Mus musculus: one gene and its partners. The protein of the gene in region 7 purifies or fractionates together with the protein of the main gene of each other region. This does not show direct contact. Links are inferred from orthologs where the notes say so. Each region holds a gene or a part of one and is shown on either strand. Other genes may lie near its edges.

What was found.
Region 1: the proteins of Sf3a1 (region 7) and U2surp purify together in Homo sapiens (affinity purification with mass spectrometry; 4 studies listed by BioGRID and IntAct, with this or other methods). This does not show direct contact. The link is inferred for Mus musculus from reciprocal best matches to the Homo sapiens genes SF3A1 and U2SURP.
Region 2: the proteins of Sf3a1 (region 7) and Xab2 fractionate together in Homo sapiens (co-fractionation; 3 studies listed by BioGRID and IntAct, with this or other methods). This does not show direct contact. The link is inferred for Mus musculus from reciprocal best matches to the Homo sapiens genes SF3A1 and XAB2.
Region 3: the proteins of Sf3a1 (region 7) and Phf5a purify together in Homo sapiens (affinity purification with mass spectrometry; 3 studies listed by BioGRID and IntAct, with this or other methods). This does not show direct contact. The link is inferred for Mus musculus from reciprocal best matches to the Homo sapiens genes SF3A1 and PHF5A.
Region 4: the proteins of Sf3a1 (region 7) and Snrpa1 purify together in Homo sapiens (affinity purification with mass spectrometry; 6 studies listed by BioGRID and IntAct, counting the BioPlex papers as one, with this or other methods). This does not show direct contact. The link is inferred for Mus musculus from reciprocal best matches to the Homo sapiens genes SF3A1 and SNRPA1.
Region 5: the proteins of Sf3a1 (region 7) and Dhx15 purify together in Homo sapiens (co-immunoprecipitation; 5 studies listed by BioGRID and IntAct, with this or other methods). This does not show direct contact. The link is inferred for Mus musculus from reciprocal best matches to the Homo sapiens genes SF3A1 and DHX15.
Region 6: the proteins of Sf3a1 (region 7) and Rbm17 purify together in Homo sapiens (affinity purification with mass spectrometry; 4 studies listed by BioGRID and IntAct, counting the BioPlex papers as one, with this or other methods). This does not show direct contact. The link is inferred for Mus musculus from reciprocal best matches to the Homo sapiens genes SF3A1 and RBM17.

What each region holds. Positions count from the first base shown.
Region 1 is NC_000075.6:95,509,115-95,513,373, forward strand, and holds the start of U2surp (U2 snRNP-associated SURP motif-containing protein), read right to left. Parts: upstream 2,883-4,259; 5' UTR 2,748-2,882; coding exon 2,703-2,747; intron 1-2,702.
Region 2 is NC_000074.6:3,614,725-3,618,383, forward strand, and holds part of Xab2 (pre-mRNA-splicing factor SYF1), read right to left. Parts: intron 3,529-3,659; coding exon 3,331-3,528; intron 1,661-3,330; coding exon 1,526-1,660; intron 1,435-1,525; coding exon 1,270-1,434; intron 1-1,269. UniProt on the Homo sapiens protein: Involved in pre-mRNA splicing as component of the spliceosome. Involved in transcription-coupled repair (TCR), transcription and pre-mRNA splicing.
Region 3 is NC_000081.6:81,869,015-81,873,253, forward strand, and holds the start of Phf5a (PHD finger-like domain-containing protein 5A), read right to left. Parts: upstream 2,879-4,239; 5' UTR 2,851-2,878; coding exon 2,799-2,850; intron 2,176-2,798; coding exon 2,152-2,175; intron 1,485-2,151; coding exon 1,318-1,484; intron 1-1,317. Other genes in the region: Aco2 (aconitate hydratase, mitochondrial precursor), read left to right, coding at 3,499-3,534.
Region 4 is NC_000073.6:66,058,740-66,063,164, forward strand, and holds the start of Snrpa1 (U2 small nuclear ribonucleoprotein A'), read left to right. Parts: upstream 1-1,596; 5' UTR 1,597-1,871; coding exon 1,872-1,953; intron 1,954-3,384; coding exon 3,385-3,532; intron 3,533-4,425. UniProt on the Homo sapiens protein: Involved in pre-mRNA splicing as component of the spliceosome. Associated with sn-RNP U2, where it contributes to the binding of stem loop IV of U2 snRNA.
Region 5 is NC_000071.6:52,187,591-52,191,749, reverse strand, and holds the start of Dhx15 (pre-mRNA-splicing factor ATP-dependent RNA helicase DHX15), read left to right. Parts: upstream 1-1,203; 5' UTR 1,204-1,399; coding exon 1,400-1,470; intron 1,471-4,159.
Region 6 is NC_000068.7:11,600,245-11,604,522, reverse strand, and holds the start of Rbm17 (splicing factor 45), read left to right. Parts: upstream 1-1,323; 5' UTR 1,324-1,438; intron 1,439-3,766; 5' UTR 3,767-3,781; coding exon 3,782-3,904; intron 3,905-4,278. UniProt on the Homo sapiens protein: Splice factor that binds to the single-stranded 3'AG at the exon/intron border and promotes its utilization in the second catalytic step. Involved in the regulation of alternative splicing and the utilization of cryptic splice sites.
Region 7 is NC_000077.6:4,166,803-4,170,461, reverse strand, and holds part of Sf3a1 (splicing factor 3A subunit 1), read right to left. Parts: intron 2,830-3,659; coding exon 2,572-2,829; intron 1-2,571. UniProt on the Homo sapiens protein: Component of the 17S U2 SnRNP complex of the spliceosome, a large ribonucleoprotein complex that removes introns from transcribed pre-mRNAs.

The DNA of each region.
Region 1 (4,259 bases), on a different chromosome or scaffold from region 7:
AATATGGCTCCAAACCCCCTCCTGAAGCCATGAAATACTTTGCTTAGGAAATTTTATTTCTAAAATATGTGCTCAGTGTCTACCAGGAGATATTAAAAATGAAAAGTATAGAACAATTACATAAAATAAAAGGGACTTTGGAAGGGTGCCCCCCCATCAAGTCCCCTTAGCAAGAACTACATACACTGTGTACATCATGAAGTTAATTTTAAAGCTAAAAATAACTAGTGGTTTATGTATTTTGTAATTAAGAAACACTAATGGGGCCATGAGCATGACTCAGAGAATGCAGACATAGGCCACACAGCCTGAAGGCCTGAATTTGATCCTTAGAACCTAGCGTTGTCCTCTGTCACATCTACACTGCGGCATGAGGGTGCACATGTGTGCACACAGACATGCACACTTTTGTAAAAGATAGAGACTTCATCATGGTCAATGGTAAAAACCCTATATCTTGTACAAATATTCTTTCAATGTGTAGAAATGACTAATAAACACCTCTACCCAAATTGATGGAAATGTAACTACCATAGCAAGAGCATGAAACAGAAGTCTCTACTTACTTGATATACAGCACAGAATACAAGCCTGGAAATTCCAAATATTGTACTAAGGCCAAAATGATCTTATAATCTAATAATGTCTAGACTTACATTTGAAATTAAAAAAAAACAACAACAATTTGAGTGGTCATTATGATGGCCAACACTTAATAATCCAAATCAGTGCTTTCTAGTTCCTTAAAAAAAAGGGAGCTGGAAGCGGTTGGCACATGCCTGTAATCCCAACTCTGGGAAATACAAGGAAGGAGCAGCAGGATGCTGAAGGTTAAAGTTCAAGCCAGCCTGGGCTACGGGAGACCCAGCTCAAAAACCTAGTACGCAGGATGGGTGGATGATCTATATAGACTTAGAAACTGAAGTAAGATTTACTAACATTTACAGTAACTCCATCTTTCTATCAGCCCTATAAAAGAATTTTTTTCCTGTAATAAGATAAGAAAACCTGAGGCTGAAGAGATTAGGTATCGTATTTGTTTTCAAAACCTATAACCTCGCCATTCCATTACAACACTTTCCATTACATGGAAAAATCCTGGCAAAACTCTTGAGTATAAATATTCCCTTTTCAGACACGAGTAAGGAACCCTTTGGTGACATCTAAAGGACTATAAACTGACAAGTGTGAATGAAAAAAAAAAAATCCAACAAGCTACTTAATACTTAAAAACTACACAGAGTCCTGAGAAGTATTCTCTTAGAAAAAAGTCTGAACACATACTTTGAAAAGCTTTCAATCTACCCAGGCCTCATGCAGGAAATACTAAATGCTTTGAGAAGAATATCAAAACAAATTGTAACTATGGATGTGGGTACCTGTCCTGGTCACGGGTCTGAAAGGAGGAGTGGCATCATGAGGTACCCCTTCATTCACCTGCTCCCCCAGAAAGGGAAGGAGGGGAAAAACTACTGGAGAAAAAGGAAGCTGACTTACAGTAAAGGTCTGGTGTAAGGACAACCAGAACTGGGCCCTCCCATAGTTCTGAAGAATGTCTAGTAAGACCTTTACTACTTGCTAAGTAAATCTGGGGCAATCATTCAGCAAAATGGCAAAAATTTAAAAATTAACAAATAAATAAACGTCAGCCTTATTAGAAAGAGAGCAAGTTTGGTTTGTTTCTCAAACCAAACAGCAAATGCAAACAGATAATCATACACTTTACGTTCCGAGACTCTTTAAATGTTATCCAACTCCTTATCTCTGCATCTCAAGCCTCGCCACTGGTTTATGGCAGTACTTAGGCATCTTTAATACCGAGATGGGGACGAGAATCTCCAAGCAAAATAATCCAAAATAGATAAGTAAATAAATGGGATTAAACACGCTGGCCAAAATGGCAACTAACACCAATTGTTAACCCAACCTTACTAACGCTTAATTACAGTTCAACGGTTTCCCAAGCAATGCACAGGGCTCCCTATAAACTCACATGTAAGGGCATTTGGGCAATTTCCACGTCTACCGTAGTTTCCCTTTCCAATGGAAACCCCACATACTGCTTGAGACCCTGAGTCTGCGGCCCTCAAGAGGGATGTTGTTCACTTTTCACTTCCCGGGAAGTGGGAGGAAAATCACATGGGAAGTGTGGCTCTAACCCTGAGGCTCAGAGAGCGGCTCCCTCCGCACGTCCCAACCCCAGGCCCTCCACTGGCGGGTCTCTCGCACACCCTTGCAACCCGTCCAGCCTAATTTCCTGGACGGCAAGGAGAGAAACCGTGTAAGGCCAGGAACGAGTAAGAGCCAAAGTAAAGAAGGGAGGACGAGGGGGGAAGAAACAGGCATCTAAGACCGGGAACCTTCCCGCCTCTCCCAGCCTCTAGCCCGCAGCCTCCGAGAGCAGCAAGGGGTGATACAAGGACGCCGGACCACCTCGGAACCACTGCTCTGACCCACAAAGCCGAACGAGGTGACCAGCCCCGCTCGCCACCAGGCACGCTGGTGTGGGGCTGAATCCCAGTCGGGACGGACGCGCGCTCGGGCCTCTCAACCTGCGCACCTTGGTGCAGCGGTGCCAGGCCCACTGTGGCCAACAGGCCTCAGCCCCTCGCCCCAGGAAACCCTCGAAGGCCAGAGGCTTCTGTAGGCCCTCGACCACGGTGAGAGACCCCCCTGACTGACGGAGATCTCTAAGAAACTACCTTTGAACTGGCCTTCTGAGATCCGCCTGGCGTTTTGTCGGCCATCTTGAGCTTTGCTCCTCCTTCAGCGGAGGCAGCAGCGCGGGTGAGTCGAGCACCGAGAGAACAGATAGCAGCCGAGCGCGCCAGAAAGGCTGCCAGGCCGAATAGCCGAACGCCGAGACGGAGACCTCCGCGGCGCCGGGGCCGCGTGACTTCCGCGTCGAGGCGCTTTTACGCGCCCCGCCCACCCCGCTCGCCTTCCGGTGAATTGCGGCGCCCAGTCACGTCACGCGCCTGCGGAATTTAGGGACTCTCCTTGACCCGACTTTCAAGGCCAACTGATAATTCAGTCATTTTCCTCCCAGAGCCAACCGGCGTTAGATGCGAGCGGGTTCTACTTCCTGAGGGGGGAAGGAAGCTGCTCTTTTAAAGCAACTGCAGTAGCCACGTGAGCCGAGCGTCTCACCTCAGCTGATGAGGCAGTTCGTCGAGACACTTTGCCGCACGATCCCCCAGGGGGCACAGGCCTTGGTGGCAAGGCAAATTTGCAATCTGCTCACGTTAAAAAATGGTGAGCAGTGACTTCAGAGTTGAGAAAAAACAGGGAAATAGGATAAAAACTGTTTAGGACGTCGGAGCATGGTACCTGCATAGACTGGGCATGGAGTTGGGGAGGGATGGATCGTAATATAGACGCTGTTCTAAAACGAGCATGTTTATTGTTACTGTGCAGTACAGGCACGCCCTAGCAACTGTGGGGAGGTTAAAGGACAGTTTGAAGGAGTTGGTGGGATTTGGGGATCGAAATGAGGTTGGCAGGTTTGCTCAGCAAGTGCCTTTTTCCCTCTGAGACTTCTGGCTACCCGCACCTATTTCTTTGAAGCATAGTCGCAAAAGTTGTGTAGCAGAAGATAGCCTTGAACTGCTGATTTTCCCGCCTCAGGTCCTGGGAATTAGTCTTGGGCCACCATGTCTAAGCTTTTTGTTAATTGAAGGGAAGCGGGGAATGAGTAAGTTTGGTTTGATTTGGGTTTTTCCAGTTTGTCGGCATTCCACCCCTGGCTGTCCCTGTGCTGTAGACCAGGCTGACCTCAAACTCGGAGATCTGTCTCCCAAGTGCTGGGAGAAAACGTGTGTGCCATCACCTAGATTTCAGTTACAGATAAGGGTCAGACCTAGAGAAGAGGCTCAGAATTGGAGATGTGTGACAGGACCTGAGAATGGAAATAAATTCATTTGGGCTGGAGGGCACAGAACCGTATTATACTGTACTTTCATGCATAGCAACCGTTACTTTCTGATCGTTGGCTTCCTGTTACTACGGTTTCTATCTCTGGTACCTGGCTTATTTATACCTCATCGCCTACCACCAGATTTTATTGATATTTATTTATTTATTTATTTTGGTTTTTTCAAGACAGGGTTTCTCTGTGTAGTCCTGGCTGTCCTGGAACTCACTCTATAGACCAGGCTGGCCTCGAACTCAGAAATCTGCCTGCCTCTGCCTCCCAAGTGCTGGGATTAAAGGCGTGTGCCACTACCGCCCTGCTTATTGACCTTTTTAGAGAGTTCAGC
Region 2 (3,659 bases), on a different chromosome or scaffold from region 7:
GGCTCAGAAAGTAAATGAGACGTGTAAGAGTCACAAGACCTCCCCCCACCCCAAGTTATGCAAACAGTAACAACTGCTAGGGGAGACTCTCCAAGCAACCCCCAAGGCCCAGCCTGTCTCCAAGTCAGAAGGAAGGTCTAAGGACGCAGCTTTTGTGAATGTTCTCCCAACTGTGCTGGGTCTTCATTGATGCAGCTACTTCTGAGTCACCCTCACCCATGTTCATGTAAGGAAGCCCAGTAAGTTCACTGGTTTGCTATGTGCACACACTTGGAAAATGAAATAAATCACCTATCTGTGGTGAAGAGACATTTGTTCATGTCTCGTCAGGAAAAGTCATATAACACAGCCTGTCTCTGGAGGCTCCCACTCTCCTCCAATGGCTGCCTGACCCCTTCACAACCTTGTGTTCTCTAGACTCTTTCCATCCCTAGAAAGCACAGCCCTGTCTCCCTATCCCATGTTTTCATGCAGGCACTCGGGAAAGGGGCTTATGAGCTTTGCAATTCTCTTGCTGCAGCCCCCTACCTTGCCCAGCCCAACAGTGCAAATCGCAACCCCCTAAGCTACTCACAATGGCCTCCTACCCAGTTTCCTTAGACCACAGTACCCCCAGTTTAGTCCTATGGAGGTTCTCAGAGTCCCATCCAAACCCTGATCCCAGCATGTTTCTAGAAAGCAAGATGGAAGGACAGACAGTGGAAACTATCTGAGGGCACTAGGTGAGTACTCGGCCTTTGTCGATGCACCAGTTCCTTACAGGTAAAGCGTGGCCACACCCCCATTTTGCAAATAGGAATATTGGGGACATCTGTGAGGGCAGTCTGGTTGAGACATCTGTCACCCCACTAATGCTAGAGCTGATTCAGCTGATCAGACTGGACAGGCAGGTGTCCCCTTCCCCTCCTCACTGCCCCATGTACATCTCTCCCAAAGCTGCACACTACATCACTAAGTCGGAAAGGACAACTTTCCTGAGTAGAGAAGCTAGGTTTTTGGTTAAGGGTACACAAGTGGCTGCACTCCTCCACACAAGCTTACAAGTTCCCAGGCTACACAGCTAGGATGTGAGAGGACCAGACACTGAGTCAGGCTGTCCCGAAGGTTCACCTGTCTACAGGACTCCTGTTCCCATCACCACCACTGGGATGGCAAATGTGTGCATGTATGTGATATGTCTCACACAGCATATCTGTACTTGTGTCCTGCCCATGCACTGTGTGTCCTTCAGAGACCCACCTAACAGCAGAGGTCTAGGCACCCACATACCTTTTCGAAGTGGCCACTGCGGATATAGTAGTCTGCCAAAGAGCACCACAGCTTGCCCAGCTGGTCAGTGAAACGGGTGAGCCCACCACGGATTATGGCATCCACATTGAGAGACTGTACCTTGTCCGGATTCTGGGAGATAAGGTCACACAGCTCGTGCCACAGCTGCAGGACACAGGGTGTTGGGGGAACATCTCAGTCTCGGTCCATGAGGGAAGACACCTCTCACCCAGTCTCCACATTCCAGGGAACCCACCTGGTAGTTGGATTTACCAGCCTTGGATACAAAGCGCTCATCATTCACCACGGTGGCCAGGCGCTGTGCAGCCTCGTCTAGCCGGTCACTGGATTTGAGATACTCGATGTATTCCTCAGCGCTCTCAGGACTCAGCTGGAGAATGAATACCCACCCCACTGAAGGTGACTGGGGATGCAGGAGATGATATCTCTCTTCTGACTAAGTGGCTATCGTCACTCCCACCACCACCAGTTTTAGCAAACAGTCAGCCCCACTAACCCGGCCTCAGTGCTATGGTGGTCCAGCCTGAAGTCAATACTCCAGCATTAGGCCTTACTGGTTTGGTCTTGGCTCCTTTGGGTCAGTCTTGATACCACAGGCCTAACACGGCTACAGTACTTATGGTGGTTAGTGCTAACTGTCAACTTGACAGACTCTAGAATCACTTCTGAGACAAGCCTTAGGGTATATGTGTGAGAGACTATCTGGATGAGAAGACTCGTGTTGATTATGAAAGGGATCATTTCCTGGGCAGGGATCCTGTATGGTGCTGTATAAGAAGCATGTGTGCATAGCTGTTTTCTGATCATGGATTCATAGCTGTTTCAAACTCCCATCGCCTTCTATGAAGGACTGCACCCCTAAACTGTGAGCCAAAAAAGCCGATTGCTTCAGGGTGTTTCTTACAGCAAGAGGAAGAGAAACTAAGACAGTAATCTTGTCTGGACCTTCAGTCTTGGTCCTGAGTGTCCACCCTTGGCACCTCCCTTAGCCTTGACACCTCCCTGCCACAACCCCAATACTGTCCAATGCTAATTCTAGGCAGACCAACTTAAGACACTGGTAGTCAGGGAAGGATCTGCTTCTGTCACAAACTGTCATCCAAGCAGTACCATGCTAAGAAATTACAATACCGGGCTGGTGAGATGGCTCAGTGGGTAAGAGCACCCTACTGTTCTCCCGAAGGTCCGGAGTTCAAATCCCAGCAACCACATGGTGGCTCACAACCATCTGTAACAAGATCTGACTCCCTCTTCTGGACAGCTACAGTGTACTTACATATAATAAATAAATAAATCTTTAAAAAAAAAAAAAAATTAAAAAAAAAAAAGAAATTACAATACCAATATCACAAGCATGAGCTACAACGCTCTGCTTGCAATGCAGCCCACCATCCAGATATCTTACTCCCACCTCTTACTGTGGCTCTGGTTTTATTCTACTTCACATAGCTGGGTCATGCATGTGTTTACCCTGTTAGACTGAAAGTCCTGGGCAAGTGGTGGTGAGAGCCCCATGTATGGTGCTCCTGGCTCTCATCTCTGTGCCCACTGGGAAGTGGGCATAAGCTAAAAGCTAAAGACTTGAAAACTAAAGATAATAAGTTACAGTGCTTAGCTCAGGGTATAAAGGGAGTTAGCTCAGGGTATAAAGCATTTGCCTTGCAAGTGTGGGGACTGGAGTTTGGATCTGTAGAGCCCACATAAACATTGGGTAACTATGACAGCACTGGAAAGGGGATCTGTGGGGCTAGCTAGAACTGGCTAAATCTAGTCTGGGTTCACTAAAAGATCTTGCCTCAATAAAGTAAAGATTGATCGAGGAAGACATCAGTGTCAACGTTGGGCCTCCACATACATGGGTGTACACACACACACATAAATACACAACACACACTCACAAAGAAAGAAACCATGAATAAACTGTACCTATTCATCGGAGCCTCTTCCTGCAGCCTATTTATTGCATATTGGGAAGGTCCCTATCCCAGTGAGCCATGTTTGGAAGCCTACCTAGGAACTGGTCACTTCAATGGTGCTCACCTTGAGGAAGCGACGGTAGCCTCGCACAGCAGTCTCAGGCAGTGGGTGGGAGCGCAGGAAACGTAGATACAGGGGCCAGATGCGAGAGTGTTGTGTGATGGGCAGTGCCCTGAGGGCACGGTCAAAGGTGCGGCGGGTATGTGTTACCCTTCCCTGGTCCATGAGAAACTGGCAGTAGTCTAACCACAGGCGTGGCATCTGAAAATAATGGAGTGAGGGGTCTGAGGCACAGGCTCCATAGCTTCCTTACACTTCATATCTAGGGCACAGGGGCAGCAGGGAAGCAATAGGGGTCATCACCTGCCACCCAGGCTCTGTAAATAAGCCCA
Region 3 (4,239 bases), on a different chromosome or scaffold from region 7:
AACTATCCCTAACTCATGTGACCACCAGATCTACCTAAACTGTCTTTAATCACAGTGGATTTAAGAGAACCAAGTTGGGCAAGTAATCCTATTATCTAAGAGGCTGGCTGAGGCAGGAGGACTGCTTTGAGTTTCAGGCTACCCTGGACTACATAATGAGCACTAGACCAGCCAGGGCCAACATAGCAAGGCTACCTCAGTAGCTGCCACATCCTACATCCCTGCCCAGAGAACCACTATGTGGGTACAAATCTGTAACCTCTGCACTCAGGAAGCTGAAGCAGGAGGACCTTTGGTTCCAGGCCATTTTGAGACACACTGGCACCTATGTCTGTGAGAAAAAGAGGAAGACAGATACAGGCAGAGCCACTGAGTGTCTTCTACACAGCACCGACGTACTCATTAGCACACAAACAGAGGATCTTACATGTGGCTAAGAATAAAAATGAACGCCTTTAATCCCAGCACTCGGGAGGCAGAGGCAGGCGGATTTCTGAGTTCGAGGCCAGCCTGGTCTACACAGAGAAACTCTGTCTCAAAAAAACCAAAACCAAAACAACAACAAAACAAAACAAAACAAAACAAACAAAAAAAGGAATAAAAATGAGCTGCCCTGGCTAACTTTATGTCAGCCTGACACAAACTAGGGTCATTTTAAAAGATGAAAGCTCAATTGAGAAAGGCCCACTAGTTCGACCAGTGGTGCACTTTCTTGATTAATGGCAGACATGGGAGAGCCCAGCCCAGTGTGGGTAGCACTACTCATGGGCTGGTGGAACTGGAGGCAGTAAGAAAGCAGGCTGAGCAAACTGGAGGGGAAAGAGCAGTGATCGATCCTCCGTGGCTCCCGCATCGACAAACTGTTACCTGGAGGTGTGGAAGAAAACCTTTTCTTTCTTTAAAGCTGCTTTTAATCTTGTTGTATCATTGAGAAGAAACCTAACTAAGACAGCAGGTAAACACACTTGACAAGCCTAACATTTGCACTCAACCGCCAGGACCAGAGTCTACAGGGAGAACTGCCTTCAGCAGGTTGTCCACACACCCATTCGCAGGAGACAGCAAGGTACATGGAGAAGTTCTCCTAACTGCTGATACCAATGAAGACTTGCTTCTCTTCCATTCTGCCCTGATACAGAGTAACTGCTCTTTATTAGACCACACCCAGTTTGGCTCACAGGCTTGAAGAAATTACCTAGATAACTAGCTGAACACTGCAATCTCCACAGCCCAGATCAGAAGAGGTGGCCATGGATGGCAAAATGGTTCAAAGTAAAAGGAAGAGAAGAGCGGGTAGGAAGCTCAGCCTACACTCACATCCTTCTCCTGAATGGTGCACTCTTTACAGTAGTAGGCATCGGAGACTCCGGGGCCGCCACAGATTACACACCGGCCCTGGTAAGATCCATAGTTACACTCATCACATATGCGGACCAGGGTGCAGGGACGCACGTAGGAATCACAGATCACACACTTGCCGTCACCTGTAGAGAGAGGAGAACTGAGTTATAGCCAATAGCGATTACTCCCCTAAGATCTCTCCTCTGCCCTATGCGGGAAATCACTAGTCTCCTTCTGACAGTGACCTTAGGACCTTCTTCTACCTTGACAGCATAAGCCTTATCCTGTACCCGTCTCAGTTTAGTAGTTCATGGAAAGAGTTTGTATTAGTGTCTGGGAGCTTTTAAGTCTATGTAGTTACTGTCAACAAATTGACAAATGTCATTGGGCTGGGAAGGTCCCCACTACTCTTGACAAATCTTACTGTCCAAAAGTAGACATTTTTTTTCAAAACCTAAATATGAAGTATTAAAAATTGCATGCTTAAGTGGGAGGATGGTGGGGCAGTCTTTGGTGGCAGCCAGGTATTTAGTATCCTCTGCAGGCTGGTTTATCTATTTAAGACTTCTTTACTAGCCAGGCAGTGTTGGCATACGTCTTTAGTCCCAGCACTTGGGAAGAAGAGACAGGCGGATTTCTGAGTTCCAGCCTGGTCTACAGAGTGAGTTCCTGGACAGCCAGGGCTATACAGAGAAACCCTGTCTTAAAACACCCCCCCCCCCAAAAAAAGACTTCTTTGCTGTTCCACTGGAATTGACGACTCTTCAAAGAGTAAAGGTGTCAAGGCCTGAGAGGGCGTGTTCGGCTTACATTTTTCACACAGTCTTCCGATAGCTGCAAGGTCAAAGATAGTAAAACATCGTTAAAATTAAGGTTGTGAGGTAGCAAGCAAAGTTTTTCGTCAAACTGAGTATAGAGGATGGCGAAGGTAGCAATGATTACAGTCAACCGTACAGGATCGTGGTCACATTCTCCTTTCCTCCCTCTCCACTGTCCCCCACCCCCTACTTTTTTGTGATAGAATCCCACTGTGTAGCTTGAGTTAGCTTTTAAGCTCTAGCCAGGCTCGAACTCGCAGCAATCTTCCAGCCTTCTGCCTCCCAGGTGCTGGGATTACAGACAAGAGTTCCCGGCCCACGACCCTAAATTTTGCTTTACACCAAAGGCCATGTCAAAAATAAAAAAAATGTCTGGAACCCCCCAAAATTCAAAGTATTCTAGACCGGCTTCTCCAGACCTGGCACAGAGGATCCCGCCAGCCTTAGACTCCCGGATGCGCGCTGCTGCCCTCTTCTAAGATGCCACAAGCCGGTGAGCGCTGCTAGAATACCCAGGCACCGTAAGGCGCGAAACGTGGACACGGCAAACCAGAGCCCTAAAGAGGAGGCTGAAGTCCCTAGTCCCCCACTTTCTAATCCCATCCCACTCAACCAAAAGGGAGCACGTCCCCAACTCACCCACACCAGCCTGCTTGCGGCAGAAAATCAAATCTGGATGATGTTTAGCCATAACTCTTTTTCCAAGCCGGCGGCCGGAAGCTTAGGGAACTTCCGCCCGACCTTTAACCTACGGCGTGCTTACTTCCGTTCCTCCGTGATTGGCCATTAAGCTGTCCGTCAGCCTTTAGCCTCGGGGGGTGGGGGGGGGCACCAAAACCGGCTAGATCTCGCGAGAGTTTCCTCGCTAGGTCCTTGCAGGTGCACCAAAGGTTTTTGAATAAAATTCTCTTTACTTCCAGATTTGAACTCATAAACTGAAGTTTGTTCTTGGGTAAAAATTCTACATATGTTGCATTCTGTGTTGGGGATTGACGCCAGGGCTTCTTGCATGCTTCCGCCAAGTATGTTGATTTGGGGATATTCTCTTTCCTGGATGACCTTGAACTCCTGCCTCCCCTCCAGCTTCCACACCCAAGGGCAAAGGTGACAAGGTTGCGCCGAACGCCGAGTTGGCAGTTTCCCCGCATCTTTGCTTTCCACGCCGGGTTTCCGTCATGTAAGCCCCGCCCACTGTGCTATCTGCACTCTTGGCTGCGGGAGGAGGCCCCACCCTCGCGGTTGACTCGTCTCTCTGTAAGCCCCGCCCCCTTCGATGCTTTTTTAAGGGCGCCATTTGTCACGTCACTTTCATGCGACCTCATCTTTGTCAGTGCACAAAATGGCGCCTTACAGCCTCCTGGTCACCCGGCTGCAGGTAAGCGAGCCCAGAGACGTGGGTTTACGGGGGCGGGGAGCCTCCTGCCTTGCCCGCGGCTGTAGGCGAGGCCAGGCGAGGCGGGCTCGATTCGCGGCTGACGTTCCGTGCACCTGTCGCGGTTGCAGGCCCAGCGCCCTTGTGGGTTCCTGCGTTGTCCTAGGTCAAGGCGTCCCTGGCACAGGCTGTTCGCAGTTCCCATCCCCGCCCGCCGGCAAGCTTGGGTTTAAGCAGCGGCAGCCTGGTCCAGGGTGGAGGCACTCCTTTTTTTCTGAGGGTGGAATCCATGCTCCCCCAGGGTGGTTTTCTGTTCCTCAAGGTGATGACAAGGTGATTGGGGGGCGCGGTGGTTGTGGGTTCCTCTAAAGCCGGGTGCTTGAAGCCTTCACTTCCCACCAGTAGCAGAGACTCGTCGCCTCATTTATCCGTGGTTGCCGGGCATGGAGTTTGCAGAAGCTATATCCACTACTACCCTTTGAGGAGACTCGGGGTCATAGACACAAGAAGGACTATTCTGGGCCCCACCATAATAAATAGTCACGATAAGAGTGCTTTCTCACCTTTGCAGCAGATGTCAAGGCTGTTTACTAATGTTACAGATGTTTTATCTGACGACATAGATGTGAGATAATTTTTCCCCCAACTTGGTAGGTGGAAAAACTGGAAGATATAGACAAAGTAGTGGCTTTCATGGTGTCACTAAAG
Region 4 (4,425 bases), on a different chromosome or scaffold from region 7:
CTAAGAAGAGACCAGCATTACTGGAGTGAAATCTTCTGGGAAGTGTGTTCTGAGAGCCCAAAGAAAATGTGTTCCAGAGATAGTCAAGGTTGTACCTCATGCTGCAGCTGGACTTGGTAATGTATAAGAATCACCCAGGTGATGCTAGTTTTGAAGGCACAAAGGGATTACGAACAGCAGCTGAGGCTTGGCACTGTGAGAGGCCAGGGATGGTCACTGGTGAAGGTGTAGCCTCAGTTGGAGTTGATGGCCCAGGGCTGAAGGGGTCACCACTACATAAACTCACTCCAATAATCCTAGCACATGAAGATGGAGGCAGGAGAGTGAGCTGTTCAAGTTCCTTCTCAGGTCAGTCATTCCATGACTCAGCAGGTAAGAGAGTGTGTACAGCTCTTTCAGAGGACCAGAGTTCAGATCCCAGCAACCACGTGTAACCCCGACTTCAGAGTATCTGGCACCTCTGGCCTTTGTGGGTATCTGCACTCATGTGCCCAAAACCACAGAGATATAACAAATAATTTCTAAAAGTATTTTTAAGAGTGTTTTCTGCTCATGCTGAGGACCAGGGGTTGACTTCTAGCACACATGTCCAAAGGATCACAACGGCCAGCTCCAGGGAATTTTAGGCTGAAGCCTCCCCTGCACCTATACACAGGTGGGCATGTACATTAATTAGTAAGCTATGATTTAAAAAAAATACGCATATGATTTCGTGCATTTAAGGCTTGGCACTGTGAGAGGCCAGGGATGGTCACTAGTGAAGGTGCAGCCTCAGTTGGAGTTGATGGCCTAGGGCTGAAGGGGTCATCACGTATACACAGGTGGGCATGTACATTAATTAGTAAGCTATGATTTAAAAAAATATGCACATGATTTTGTGCATTTAAGCCTTTGGAGACAGAGGCCAAGGCTCTGCAGGTATATTGTATTCACTGTGGGGCACTCATCACATGGCAATTTCTGATATGTGTATTCCCCTGCACTTCGTATGAATTTTTTTGGTGTTGTTTGTTTGCTTGAGATAGAGTTTCTCTGTGTATCCCTGGTTGTTCTGGAACTGGCTCTGTAGGCGAGGATGGCCTCTATCTCCGAGATCCACCTCCTTCTGTCTCCAAACTGCTAGGATTAAAGGCATTCTCCATCACAGCTAGTCAATATGAATATCACTTATGGTTTATTTTATTTGTGTGTGTGTGTGTGTGTTTGCGGTTGCCGGTGTCTGAGGAGGCTAGAAATGGACGGCAAATCCCCTGAGGCTGAAGTTACAAGCAGTTGTCAGGTGTCCAGACGGATATTGGAATGCCAACTCAAGTCCGTTACAAAAGTTGCAAGTGCTCTTAACCTCTAAGCCACCTGACCAGCGCTTTGGTATGAACACCTAAATGTCTACAGGCTACAAGTTCACCCTCAAGCTTTAAGGTGACTGTACCAGGTCAGAAGGGTTCTGTTTTAAGGCAATCCAGCCTACGGGTCCTGCCCCTTACCTGCGGAAGCCCAAGTTAGACATTTAGGAACTTGACTTTCAGGAGACTTCACAGTCTCCGCCCCTTGTTGGGTGGAGAAGGGAGAGTAGTCCCAACTACCCCTCCCTTGAGGTTCACTGACGTGAGACAGAGCATCCCTCGCGTGTTCTTATCTTTTGGATTAAAAAAACTGGAATCTGGGCTCCCCACACTCCCAGGCACGCTCAAGCCCAGAACCCAGAAGCAAAGACACGGGGGCTACGTCTTCGATTGCTTTAGCCTGGCGGTCGAGCTGCGCGGGGATACGATTGGTGCTGTCTGGCGGCGAGGCGCGGTGCACTGTGGGACACGGCACTGGCGGGAGGCGCAGGCTGGTGTCGGAGGTGAGGGTCCGCGGGCTGCGACAGGATGGTGAAGCTGACGGCGGAGCTGATCGAGCAGGCGGCGCAGTACACAAATGCCGTACGGGACCGTGAACTGGACCTCCGGGGTGAGTTAGACGGAGCGCGGGCTGTGTTCCGGCCCCGGCGCGTGGCTGCGGGAAACCAGCCCCGCCGCGTGCGCAGAGGCTGGAGCCTGGCCCGTGGGCCTCCACCCGGGCTGGGCGCCTCCGATCCACCGTCCCGCAGGGCCCTTTGGGGCTGTTTGTTACCGGCGTTCCGGCTAGCAAACACGGCGCCTCGATTCCTTCCCCGGACCGTACTCACTAGGCATTGCCCCGCTCATCGAGCAGCTTTAACTGTTGGAGGACTAGGAAAATAGAAAACGCTACGGACAGGCCGGCTGCTGGCTGGTGTTTTTTGTTTGTTTGTTTGTTTGTTTGTTTGTTTGTTTTTTAGCAAAAGCGTTAATGTGGCACCTGAGGGTAGGGTGGATATGTACCAGAGTTACCTTAATTGCCCCAATAATTCCGGTTTGGTTTTGTTCATTTGTTTTTGAGACAACGTCTCGTGTATTCCGAGCTGACTTCAAACCGTTATATAGTTAAGGTTTATCTCGAACTTCGGACCCTCTTGCCTCCACTTCCTGGGAGCTGGGTTTAAATGCCTGCACCACGTTTATATGGTGCTTTGGATGAGCCCAGGGTTTCATGTCTGTCAGGAAAGCACTCGCGCTACTGAGCCAGACCCGCAGCCCCGGATAATTTGGTGTTTTCAAGATTGAGCTGTTTGACCGTGGCATAATGGTCACTTCTGTGTGTGGGGTGGCGGAACTCACCTGTTCAGTTCTGACAGAAGTAGCACTTGATTTTTAAAACATAGAACTGAGAGGTAATCGTTAACTATTCAGGAGATGGCTTTGGAAGGGGTTAAGATTATAAGACTGTGACCAGAGGCAATCAAAGTCTCGGGGGCGCTGTGCACTGCCATTTTTGAAAGTTTCTTCCTGCCTATGGGAAATCCTAGTGTTCTTTGTGTTTGTTGAATGAAATTAACTTTCTTGGAGAAAAGTCCGGTTCAGGAGCATCTGGGTCCTTTCACTGTCTTGGCACAGTTTTGATGTCTGCTGTCTCTCTGAAAACCGTGCAGTCTGGAGAATGCTTATTCTGCTACCATATCTTTTATTGCACTCCTTCACAGCTGGGTTGTGTCCTTCCTTATAGTACCTAGCTCAGTGACGAATGTGAATACCTCATAGACGTTCTTAATAAACCATGGGCACCAATACTAGTAAATATGCCCATCTGTTCTTCCTCTTGCCTTCAGCCTCTTCAGTTTTACTTCAAGCTTTGTAGCACTAAGGCCTCCACTTAACCCTTTCGTCATTTACCTTATTTTTGTTCAGTGCACGGCATGGTGCTAGTGCCTGGTTAATACTTCCCGAATGGGAGCGCTGAGTCAAATTCCATCACATACTCCTGCGATTTTCAGGACTTTTCATTTATATTAATATTTGTTGTATGTATGTTTTCCCTCTACAGGATATAAAATTCCGGTTATTGAGAATCTGGGTGCCACCTTAGACCAGTTTGATGCTATTGATTTTTCTGACAATGAGATCCGGAAACTGGACGGTTTCCCTTTGTTGAGAAGACTGAAAACATTATTAGTGAACAACAACAGAATTTGGTGAGTGACTGCTAGTGAGAATACTTTCTTCCCTTAAGTAAGTGTTCTAATGTACCCTGAAGATAATGGGGTTTTGGTTGTTGTTTTGTTTTGTTTTAATGTATATTAGTTTTTTGCTTGCAGGTACCACACACCCTCCTAGTGCCTCTGGAGGCCAGAGGAGGGCCTTGGCTTCTCTGGAGCTAGGTTTACAGATAGTCCTGAGCTGCTCCAGCTGTAGGAATAGAATCTGGGTCCTCTGGAAGATCAGCCAGGGCTCTAAGTTGCTGAGCCACCACTCCAGCCTGCCCATGTGTCTTAAAGGGAGAAATGAATAGAGCCCTTTTCCTAAGAGGTTGGAGATTAACTTGGGCATTGGCCTGACCTTACTTGCTACTCTTCAGAAATCTTTAATATTCGTAACTGACATTAAACTTTGAATTTGAAGCATTGTGCTATGTCAACAAATCAGATTTTAGAGTAGTCATCAATAGCATCATAATTAAAAAGATTTATAAAGGCCATGTGTAGTGGTATCTGCCTTTAATCCTAACACTCTGGAGTCTGAGGCAGGCTGATCTCTGAGTTCAAGGACAGCCTTGTTGACAGCAAATTCCAGCCAGGGCTACATAGTGAGACCCTGTCACAGTAAAAATCTTTTTATGAAATAAAGTTACTTTTCACTGAGTACCTATACCTCATCCACTATGCTGGTTTTGGTTTTTGTAGTTGGTTTCTACAATATAATTCTGTGAAATTAAGATCATATTTGTTTGTATGAGTGGGGTTTCTCTGTGAGCCCTGGCTGTCCTGGAACTCACTCTGTAGACCAGGCTGGCCTCAAACTCAGAGATCTGCCTCCCTTTGCCTTCTGAGTGCTAGGATCAAAGGCGTGCACTACCACCACCCTGATG
Region 5 (4,159 bases), on a different chromosome or scaffold from region 7:
CACTACCATATCTAGCCTAACAGGTTGTCAATGTACATTTAGACAGTTGTGTTGGATATTGTGAAAGTTACAATATCATCTGTTGTGTTTCTGTTGTATTTAATCTTAGAGATTATCCTTCTGAGAATTTTCGAGGGACTAGAGCCAAGGAGCAGCAAAGGAGAGTCTTGACATGAAGTGATACCCTGTATTTGGGCTGATCCTTAGACCTCTTTCGCCCACACTTCTGGAAATGAATGTAATTGAGTATGCACAATGGCTGAAGGGAGAAAGATACACAACCTCTTAAGTGTCACCTTGCCTCAACAACTTGCCATTACAGTGGAGTCTTAATGGATGAGCTATTTGTTGATTTCCTTCAGTCCAGGTAACCATGTCTATAAAATGTCTTTCAGGGTTCACTCTACTAAGGAGCACAGCAACTAGGCATGCTGGGGCACGCCTTTAGTCCCAGCACTGGGAGGCAGAGACAGCCTAACCTCTGAATTCCAGGCTAGCCTCTTCTACAGAGCTTGTTTGTGGACAGCCAGAGCCACACAGAGAAACCCTGTCTCAAAAAACCAAACCAAACCAAACCAAACGAGGACAGAGATAGGGCTAATGTCTCTGAGTGCCTAATATGCACTCATATACACACAAACGGAGCAAGATTAGGGCAGAGGATTGGAGGCAAAATACAGTGCCCAGTGCGATTACCTCCAATTTTCTGAACCCTATACAAAACACCTATACCTTGAACAAATAGATGTTATCTGTTCTGGGGTGAATGGACAAAACGAGTCACAGTAATTAAAGTTAACATTTTTTCTCACCGCTACAGGGCATCTGGCGCAACAACTGCAAATTCTCGTTCTGGAGTTATAAATTGTGTCCTGCTTTGCCACTTGCCAGCTGTGTGATCTTGTTTTTCTTATCCTTCCTGAGCTTCATACCCTAAAAGCAAAAAGTATATACACAGCTGGATAGATTTCCTAAACAGGACTAGGCTTTTTCAACTTTCCCAACGAACTCCAGGCGGCAAGTGACAGCTTGAGGCGCGTTTCGGTCCTTAGCAGCAGCTCAGATCAGCTCTCAGAGAGACGCGAGGGGAAAGGGAGGAGCCCGCGGGAACTCAGAGCCATTTCAGCCAATCGCACAGCGGGCGGGACGGGAGTTCCCGCCTCCGGACGGCGTGCGCGCGCACCACGCCGGCACGCCCGCCGCGGAGGCGCGCACGCAGGCCCTGCCCTCGTCGCGGCCGCCATTTTAGCTCCTGGTTCGGGCCGCACGGAGCGGGCTGTGGTGGCGGGAGGGGTGGGGGTCCCCGCGAGTTGAGCCGCGGGCCTCTTGTGCGTGGATCCGGCTGCCGGAGTCTCTCTTCTTCCCTCCTTCCTAAGCGTCCGCTTCTGGGAGTGCGAGGATGTCCAAGAGGCATCGGTTGGACCTGGGGGAGGATTACCCCTCCGGCAAGAAGCGTGCGGGGACCGATGGGTAAGCCAGGCCGGGGCGCGCAGTCGCGGCTCGGGCTTTGTTGGATGGTGGCGGGGAGCAGGCCCGGCTGCCGAGCCTTTGTCTGCCGTCGGCCGGCTGGGGCGCGTGCCGAGTGTGTGCGGCCGGGGCGAGCGGCCTGTGGCGGCCACGAGGCCGCGGAACGGCGGGCGTGCGGAGCGGGCCGCGAGGCCTCGGTGCTCGCGTGAGGCCCGCAGCCGGAACCGGATGGCCAAGGGCACTGCCCCCGTGGGCGGCGGCGGGCGCTGTCTGTTTTGGGGGAGGATAGAGGCGAGCCGACCTCGGGGCGCACTGTTTGGCGGGAGACGAAGGGCCTTCTTCCATTGAGGCACTTCAGGAGAGGCCGTTGCCAACTTCCGCCCTCTGCCTGCCCTCCCGCCATCTCCTTTATTTCCTGCTTTGCTTAAAAGCCGGCTTTGCTTTTAAGTAGCATCACTGGGGTAGGCCTGTGAAAACACGTATTTCCCCCTCCGCTCTGGAAGTTATTTCTATCTCCTCCCCACTTTGGACGCACTTTTCAAAAAAGTGATCTTAAGCGTGTTTGAACAAACAACACCCACGTGCAGATTGAGAAAGGCTTACACCGATTCCTGGTCTGGCATTTTAGTTCCTTTTCTTAGACTTTTCGCAAAGACAGGGCATTTAGCAAGTAAGCAGTTGTATTATCATTTTCCAGTCTTTTCTTTCACAGTTCATACTTAAAATGTACTTTTGTTTATATTCCTACCCTCCCATTTTAATTAGTTGTATGTTTATGCTTCGGCAGTACAGGGATCTGTTGGGTTAATTAAAAAATATATCCACGGAAGTCCAAATGTCCAAAACAGTTGTAGGATTTTATCATTTTCTTATGTCTTGTGACACCGACTCGCTGTCAAGTCAGATGTGTGGTCTCTTGAGTTTTTGTTAACGGAAAGTCCTTTGGGATTGATTTCTAACTACCAGTGTGAGAATAGGTCAGGATAGGATGCGTTCTGTCGCTCTCCTTAGGTTGAAATATTGAATACGGAAAGCAGGTTTGTTATGTTTTGATTGTGTAGGTTTTTTTTTTTAAAGCTTATAACACTAAGCATTGTAATAATAAAACATCCCAAGACAGCTGTTCTCTCAAGCAAACATTCCAAATGTTAGTAATTGAGCTCCATCAGTTCTTAGGTAGAAACAGCTCATGAATATTCTCCAAGGGAGAGCAAAGTTGCAGTGAGCTTTTTCCATAGATTATAGTGGTATGTAGAATTCTCCTTTTCTCAACAGGAAACTTAGTACTGTAGTTAGGCATCACAACCTGTCATAAATGGCATTTATATTGGATTGATAAAGTGGGGAACTTCTGTGAAGTTAAAGTTAATGTCACATTTGGCTAAGATGCAACTAATTTCTCTCCTTATAGAGGTCACATTGGGATGAACACTGAGTTTGTGCAAGCAGAGTTTTTTTGTGTGTATGTTCACGACTCAATGCTTTTATTGCAATTGGGGCTCCACATTACAGTGATTATGGTCATTTCTCTTGCAAAACATACAACATTGGCAAAATGGACTTTGCGTATATCGCGGGTAGCTTCATGTTTCCTCTGAATATTTCATATTTGTCACTAAGTACAGGAGAGTCCTTGATTTCTAGAGATTCTGCAAGGCAGTTTTTGCAGTTTCCTAAGTTTTTTGAGTACCTTTTCTTATAGAACTGGTTTTCTTTAGCAATACAGTATTTGTGCTTGGTATTTTTTTTTTTTTCCTTACTTGATTTGAAGGCACTTTTGACTGCCAGGGACTCTTTGCTTCCCTCCCTCCCCCTCTTTGCTCTTGTTTAGTGTATTTGACAGCATAGGCTTGTTCATTTTGTCACCCCAGCTGTCACCAGACCTTGCTGTCTCCATTCCAGCACGTGTGGGTGGGGGTGGGGGTGGAGGGGCGGCCAGGAGAAGAAACCACGGAGTCAGTTACCTCCTCTTGACCATGATGGCCTCAGGGGTCAACCCAGTTTTTCAGTCTGAGCCATCTCACCAGCTCCCAAGAAATCTGGGAAGGACATTTTTATCCTAATGGTTCTTAATATTCCTGATAAGAATTTGTAATTATGTGTTTCACTACAATCCCGTGGTAGCTGAAATTAAATAATAAGATGATAAGATGCAAAGGGCAAGAAATTTTCACACATAAATGTATAAAGAAAAAAGCAGTAAGCTACTACAAATCATTATTTCCATCTTTGGAGTCCATACTTATTCCTAAATACAAAATGTAATATCAGTGAGCTCTTGGGATTTGGGTCCCATTGGCTGTGTAGTACAGTAGTTGTCTCTTGTCTTGCTCATTGGTGTTAAGTGCTTTCCTCGAATTTTCTGTAGATGAAAGTATGAGTATCCTTATGTATGCACGTTAATGCACATGCTTAGAAGTTCCCAAAGTGAGACTGTCAGAAAAAAAGTAGTTTATATAAAATATCTAGAGTAGATGACTAGTTTCCATACTTACTAGCAGTATATTAGTGCCTATTATTATTCCAAGTACAATTTAAACTGAAACATCAGTAGTAACCAGTGTTTGTTGGTACATTTCAGATATTCCAGGCATTATTACATGTATTATCTTATTAAATGTTTTTAGTTCCATCTTAAAAGCCACAGCTTGCATGTGAGCAAGAAAACATTGTTCTTAATAATTGTCAGTGT
Region 6 (4,278 bases), on a different chromosome or scaffold from region 7:
ATTATTTGAACACTTTCTTGTAAATCAGATTATAATGTTGGTGTGTTCACTTGTGTAAGGTCCACCTCCACAGTTTTATGATGGCTATTCCTGGTTTTCAACTCGACTACATCTGGAATGAACTACAATCCAGAAATGGAGGGCACACAGGATCTTGAGGCTGGAAGACACAGGCTGCTGACCCAGATCTTGACATGGAGATCATGAGACAGCCCAGGCAAGGTAGTGCACAACTTTAATCCCAGGACACTGAGGCAAGCAGTTCTCTGAGTTCAAGGCCAGCCTGGGACAAAGCAAGTTCCGGATCCAGGTGTGGAACTTGAGGACATAAAGACATTGGGAGAAAGAAGATTGACTCACTCCTCGTCACCTTCTTGCACTTACTTGACAGCATCTCTGTTGGAACCGATTTCTTCAGATTGTAGCTTAGACAGAAGACCAGATGAAACAACCTACTTCGTGGGACAGAGCAACTACTAGATTCTTGGGTTTCCCATTCACAGCTGCCCATTGTCAGGTTAGTTGGACTGCAGAGTGTAAATCATTGCAATAAATTCATTTAATATATATAGACAGTCTATAGGTCCTCTGACTATAGAGAACCCTGACTGATACATTTTTCAGCTTGAATTCACCACCACCACCACCCTTTGCGGGGGGGGGGGGGGGTTGTTGTTATTGTTGCTGTTTTTCAAAATAGGGTTTCTGTGTAGTCCTGGCTGTCCTGGAACTCACTATATAGACCAGGCAGGCTTTGAACTCAGAAATCTCTGTCTCTGCCTCTCAAGGGCTGAGATTAAAGGCATGGGTCACAACTGTCCAGCTATAGCTTGAAATAATTTTTACATGCAACCAAAAATATGGGGAAAACATATTTACACAAAGCCCTGGTTTCTCTGACCTTTCTTTTGCCATTTGCTGCATTTTTATTCCAAGCGAGCAAGGTTTATAGTGTTTACATTCTTTCTCTGAAGACCTAGCTCAGTGTGTGTTTTTAATGCTATTAGATTCTGCAACATCTCGCCTGCAAATTTATTTCCACCATTTAGTATATAAGGGAATAGTTGGGAGTGAATACCTGGAGCCTAGTAGGGGATTCGGCTCCTACTCCAAGGTCAGAAGGCACATGAATCTCGAAACCTTGTGCCAATGGCGCCATCTCTTGGCCGGCAGAGAGGAGATGCAATGTAGTCCTCCCGTCAGCAGGGTGCAGTGCGAGCCGGAGAGTGCAGCTTTGCTTCCGCGAGTCACACGCAGGCGCAGACGTGGACTCCCGGCAGCCTCCGCTCTCTTACCCCGCGCGGTGCATCCCTTTGCGGACTCCGTGGAGGCTCGGCGCTGCGGCGGACTCCGGCGGTGGGCGGGCTTCCGCGCAGGGCGGCCGGGCTCCGCGCTGCCGCCGCCGTGGCCCATGGGCACAATCGTCTCGGAAGGCCGGGTGAGTGGCGCCGCGGCGGCCCTGGCAGGCGGTCTGATCCGGAACGTAGACTCGGGTGTGCGCGCCTTCACGGATGCGCTGGACGCGAGGCCGCGGCTCTAGGCCGCGCCGTGAGGGGCGCGGGGATGCGGGCGGGGCACCCCGAGCTGCCCGGGGGGTTCCCAGCCCTCCACGTTGGGCTCCTTCAGCCTGCCACGTTCCACCGGGCCACCTAGATCCCCCCTTCACCAGTCCCGATCCTCTTGACAGTGAAGAAAGTACCTTTCTCCTCTTCATGGCCCATGCCCAGACCAAGTTGTTGGGTCGCAAGACCGCAGTAACCCAGACTGCGTCGGGCCTCAGGAATGGAGAAGCCAAAACACAAACCCCAAAACTTGTTTCCTTCCAGAGCACCTGAAGTGAAGGTTGAGGCCGTTGTCTCACCGGGACAGAGAGTGTCTGTTGTAACCCCCGGCATGCTCAGGCCTGCGCTAAGGGGAGTTTTAGCGTTCATGTCCCTCCGCTAGCTTTCGAGCTTCTTCTGCTTGGACCAGTTGTGCTCTGAATGAGTGCTGCAAGCTCAGTAAGGTGCTTCTCCAGGGGTTAGATCTCTAAGAAGCTCGTTGGAAAACCCAGGCCTGGATTGATCCGAAGAACCAGATTACAAGCTGGAAAGACCTGGAAGAGGAGTTTTATTACAAGTGGAAAGGCTGCACCTATGAGGAAGAGGGAAAGCAAGAGCAGAGAAGCGCTGTAGAGTATTCTGCAGTTTAAGGCTGTGACAGAGGATGAAGAGGGACTTAGAAGGGTGATCAGTCAGACCTTCCTTTGAGAAGTCAGGAAGGGGGGACCATTGACATAAGTTCTTGTTATAATTCTGCTTGTTCTGGGAATAGGTGAGGCCTGTCTCTCTGCAACAGGTGGCTCTTTTAAATCATGGGGACACATTTATACTGGGCTGAGCTGTAAACATTTCGAGATAACAAATTTTAGTAAATATGAGTAATGGAGCCCAGGGTGGCAATATGTCTGGAATTCCAGTGCTTGGAAGGTGCAGGCAGGAGATTAAGAGTTCCGAGGACAAGCCACACGTGGAAATCACATGTGTGATTTCCTACAGGCGTCATTTTTCTCCTACCATATGGGTTCTTGTTGACCCCCTGATTTGTTATTATGTACCTCCTCCCCCCCACCACCTGTCCCCCGCATAAATTTTTCACACATCTTTCCAACAGGGAAGAGTTCCCTCTAGTAGGTCATTCTACAAGTCTTTCAGAACAGTAGAGAAATCTGCTGCGCTGTTTGCTTTAGTTACTCTGGTTAGTTTGTTTTTAACAGTCCCTGGCCAATGGTATCTTGGTAATACGGATGGGAAATGTGAACTATCAGAGATGGCATAGCTACACACGGAAGGGTATAAATGATTCGGTAAAACATCATTAAGTCCTGAGTATAAGATATGATTGTGGTGTGGATCAAGCTAACAGAGGTAGACTTTTAGACTTGTGATGGTTACTCTTGGTTAGCTACATCTGGAATCTACTAAAACCCAATGGCTGGCCACACCTGTGAGGGATTTTTATTTATTTATGGACAGGGTTTCACCTGTGAGGGATTTTATTTATTTATGGACAGGGTTTCTTTTTGTAACAGCCCTGGCCCTCCTGGGACTCATCGATGGTTCTGAGCCACCATTACAGGTGGTTGTTGGAAACTGAACTCAGGACCTCTGGAAGAGCAACCAGTACTCCTACCCACTGAGCCATCTCTTTGGCACCTGGAACTTTATAGTTAATAATGCCCCACATAGAGAGCTTCCGTCTTACTCCATTATCAGTTCTATAACTGAAGGATTTGACTCATAAGTCAGTTCACCATAGTCTTTTAGATTGAGAATTAATTCTAGGCTGGACATAGTGGCATATCCCAGCACTCAAGAGGTGTAGGAAAGAGTCACAAGTTCAAAGCCAACCTCGTCTTTGTGATAAGTTCAAGGCCAGCCTGAGCTACATGAGAGCCCTGAGGACTTTTGTTTGTTTGTTTTTTCTTTTTTAGTTTTTTGAGAGGGTTTCTCTGTATAGTTCTGACTGTCCTGGAACTCACTTTGTAGACCAGGCTGGCCTCAGAAATCCGCCTGCCTCTGCCTCCCAAGTGCTGGGTTTAAAGGCGCGTGCCACCACGCCAGGCTGAGGACTGTTTTTAAACTAGTGCCTAAGTATAGTTTTGCAGATTAGAAAGAACCCTGCATTTGTGACAGGAGGGTCCATGGTGCAGCTGTTTTAACACAGAGACATTCATAACTTGCTTCTGCTTTGCATCTTTTAATCTCTGTCCCTGCTTGTCTTTCAGCATTAAACCAAAAAGATGTCCCTATATGATGACCTGGGAGTGGAGACCAGTGACTCAAAAACTGAAGGCTGGTCCAAAAACTTCAAGCTCCTGCAGTCCCAGCTCCAGGTGAAGAAGGCGGCGCTCACTCAGGCCAAGGTAAGAACAGGCCCAGGGCAGGAGAGGGCAAGTCCGCTGAGTTCCTTTAAGCTTGCTCTTTGCCCCCTTGCTGGATACGTAGAAAAGAGTGGGTGGGCGAGGGGTGGAGAGCTGATTGCCTCTCCTGGCTCTTGGAAACAGCAGGACCATTCATGGAGTGGGAATTAAAAAAAGCCATGAGACTGGCTTTAGACTGGAGCATGCCTGAGACTGACTGCAAACTGTTTACAGATGCTGTTTTCATACCCCTAGTCCTAATAGTCTGGGACTTCTGGCCTAGGCTGGGTCCCAGCTAGTTTATTGTAAGAAGTTTGGAATTGAGCTTTGCAGAATAATCAGAGCCACCCCAACATGCATACAAACATATATACATA
Region 7 (3,659 bases):
CCTCTTTGGATCCCTACCCCTAGAATCTATCTGGTAGAACAGCTTTCTCCAGTGCCAGTCAGTTATGAGTCAATGCCAATAGCCGAAGTCAGAGGAAGAAACAAAAAAGTAACAAAATAGAGATGAGAACTTCTACTATGGAAGCAGCTCAAATTGAACCTAGGCCATACTTAGAACTGATATGGGTTAGAGAGACAGCAGCAGCTAGAGCAGGGCCTGTTTTTCAGAGGTCTGTGTTTGATTCTCAGCACCCACATGGTGGCTCACAAACATCTATAACTACAGTCCCAGGAGATCTGATAGTCTTTTTCAATTCCACGGCCCCACACACAAGTGGTGCAGAACAACTCATACACAAAAAATACAAATAGATACAACAACATTTAAAAATCCACAACCCCGAGACTGTGTACTTTAGAATCCTGTGGCTTTAGGTTTCGGTCATTGCTTTACTGCTCTACCAGATCCTAGATTTGGTCATTTTCTAAAAACACATTTTTGTTTGTTTGTTTTTTGTTCAAGATAGGGTTTCTCTGTGTAACCCTGGCTGTCCTGGAACTCACTCTGTAGACCAGGCTGGCCTCGAACTCAGAAATTCGCCTGCCTCTGCCTCCCGAGTGCTGGGATTAAAGGCGTGCGCCACCATGCCTGGCAAAAACACATTTTAAAATACTTCAAACTTTATTCTTCAGAGACAGTACTTATAAGTCCTTTCAACTTAAATCTCTAGCACTGCTTCTAAATATTAGTAACAGATGTAGGCCATTCCACTAAAAAGAAAAACAAGAAAAACATGCCACTGGTAAACCCACAACAGATGAGAAGCCTTTGTAACATATCAAACATTTTATTGTTAAAAGAGAAAGTTTCTCAAAGAGCTCAGGCTGGCCTCGAACTCCTAGTACTCCTCAATCTTCATAGAACTTAAATTACAAGTGTTAGCTACTGTATCCAGCTCTCTGACAAATTTTAAATGTTAGATTACTGTATCAGATTCTTTTTTTAAAGACAATTTCAGTCTGTAGGCAAGGATATCCTAGAACTTACTATGCAGCACGAACTAGCCTTGAACTCAGTGATCCTCCCTCATGAGTGCTGGGATTTCAGCAATCAGGAGGTAGAGGCAGGCAGACAGATCTCCCTGAGTTTAAGGCCAGCCTGGTCTACAGAATGAAACCACACTATAGGAGGAGACCCAGTCATTTGACAAACAAACAAACAACAACAAAGAGTGCTAGGACTAAAGGTGTGCACCACCATGCCTGGCTTGCCATGTTGATTCCTGACTGCAGCAGTGCGACCTAGGGTTGAGAGTAAAGAAAAGTGCCAGCTCTCCAGTCCCAGCTCTGCAGCATCTGTGTGACTCCAGGCAGGATAACTGAGAACAGTGGCTGCTGTACACATTATCAGGGCCCTTGGGAAGATGTTGCACATGTGTCTTCAATGTTAGTTGATTCATACTGAACTTTTTCTCATGTAAGTTACTCCATAGGATAAAGACAGCCAAGGCTTGAATCTCAGCAACATCGCTTACAAGCCTGAGGCCAAGCAATCATGAATGATTTCACACTTCATCCCTTTTTGGTCTTTTTTCCTTAAGAACAGTGCTGAACCCAGCACCTTATGCTAGAGAAGCAACTCTACCACTGAGAAGAACCCGAGCCCCATGAAACCATGGCTCTTAGCTGGTTTCTGCTTGTGAAAGTTGAAGAACACCACTTTAAAAGTTCTGTGAGAATTAAAGTAGGTAACAGTTAAGAGCTTGCTTCTCAGGCCATGGAGCAGACAAGTGGCAATGCAGACACCTAAAAGCAGATAGTGCTACCTAGTCTTGTCACACAGCAAATGACCACCTAATAACAGCAGTTTATAAACACGTCTCTTCAATACCAAGAGGTATTTAAAGAGAACAATATAAGCTGGATGTGGGGACCCATGTCTTTGATCCTATAGACAAAAGGATTTCTGAATTTGAGGCCAGACTGGTTTACAGAGTGAGTTCAAAGGTCAGTCAGGGTTGGGGTTACACAGTAAGACACTGTCAAGAGAGAGAGAGAGAGAGACAGAGAGAGAGAGAGAGAGAGAGAGAGATGGAGGGAGGGAGAGAGGGGGGGGAAATAAAGATTTAAGGTACACTTTTAATCCCAGCACTCAGGAGGCAGAGTCGGGTGGTTCTCTGAGCTTGAGGCCATCTTAGACTACAAAACTAGTCCAAGACAGCCAGAGCTGTTACACAAAGAAAACCCTGTCTCAAACAAAACAAAACAAAACAAAACAAAAAGATTTAGAGCCAACGAGATGGTTCATAGGGTAAAAGCACTTGCTATGGAAGCTTGAGAGAACTGAAAGCTGTTTTCTGATGCCAAGCAACCTCCATGGCAGGGCACAAAAGCACCTACACACTCGCACTTTCTCTCTCACACATTCGCAAATATATAAAAGCATTTTAAACCAAAACTTTACATTAAGCTGGGATTCATATGTCACACAAAGCAAATATCCTTGTTGACAGAGTGGATGCTGCATACCCAGTGGTGAGATACTATACTACCCCGGACCCAAACCCAGCACCTTGGTATACTGCTCCACCAGCTTTGTGAAGTAGTTGAAGAGGCTGTGCTGGGGTCGGAGAAAGTCAAACTGGTAGTTGCGCTGCTCTTTCTGCATCAGCTGGGTCAGAAACTGACGCCCATTCCTGGCCACAAACTGAGCTGTCAGCTTCACTACATCCAGGTCGAAGGCTGAGATGGAGGGGGGATCAGCGATGAACTCAAACTCAGGAGGGGGCTCCTTCGGTACTATGGTCTCTTGGATCACCTGGGCTTGGACCTAAGACAGAGAGTATAGAACACGAACAGAACAGGAGTAAACTAACCCTGAAGCAGAACAGCCAGACTCTTAATTGAGAATATCACTGGAACTTGCTAGAAGATTGGTGTTATCAGTGTCTCACCCAACTGTGCCTCAACTCCCTAATCTGCTTCAAGTGAGACAGTCTACAGCTCTACTCCAGTCCTGACATCAGAGGTTTAAAGAGGTGGCAAATATATATAGGAAATCAGATGTAAAATACGACTTAAGAGGCTGGAAATACAGTAAGGTCCATGTGTGTGTAGTGATTCCTACTGCAAAAAATTCCATTGATGACTTCCAAGAGAAGCAGGAAACTTAACAGGTACTGTGAGTAGTTTTACACATGAGGAAAGCCACAGCAGCCTTAGGCCCTACAAGCAGCAATTGCAATGCAAGGCTTCAAACATGACTTCAACTTTTATTTCTCACAGCCAAATAAAAGGTTGCCTTTTCCACAGAAGTCTGAGAAAGGTGCAAAATGATGAGACCAGGCCAGTTCTACCCAGCTGACAAAACGCACTGGTTCTCTGTCTTCACAGACACTCTTGACCGTCAGTACTCCTGGGCCCCAGCACCAACTGGGTATTGAAGCAGCCCCAACAGAAGGGAAGGAATGGCACAAGGCTACATCACTTCCTTCAGCTGAGCTGGGCCAAAAGGTTGCTCCTACACTACAATTAAATTAACCCTCACTCCTTGGGTCAATAAATCATAAGCCTTGGTTAAACAGTTGCTCTGCTGGGCTCTTCACAACCTCAGCCTGGAGGACAGAGCTTCACAACCAGTGTGCAGAAGCTTCTAGAAGC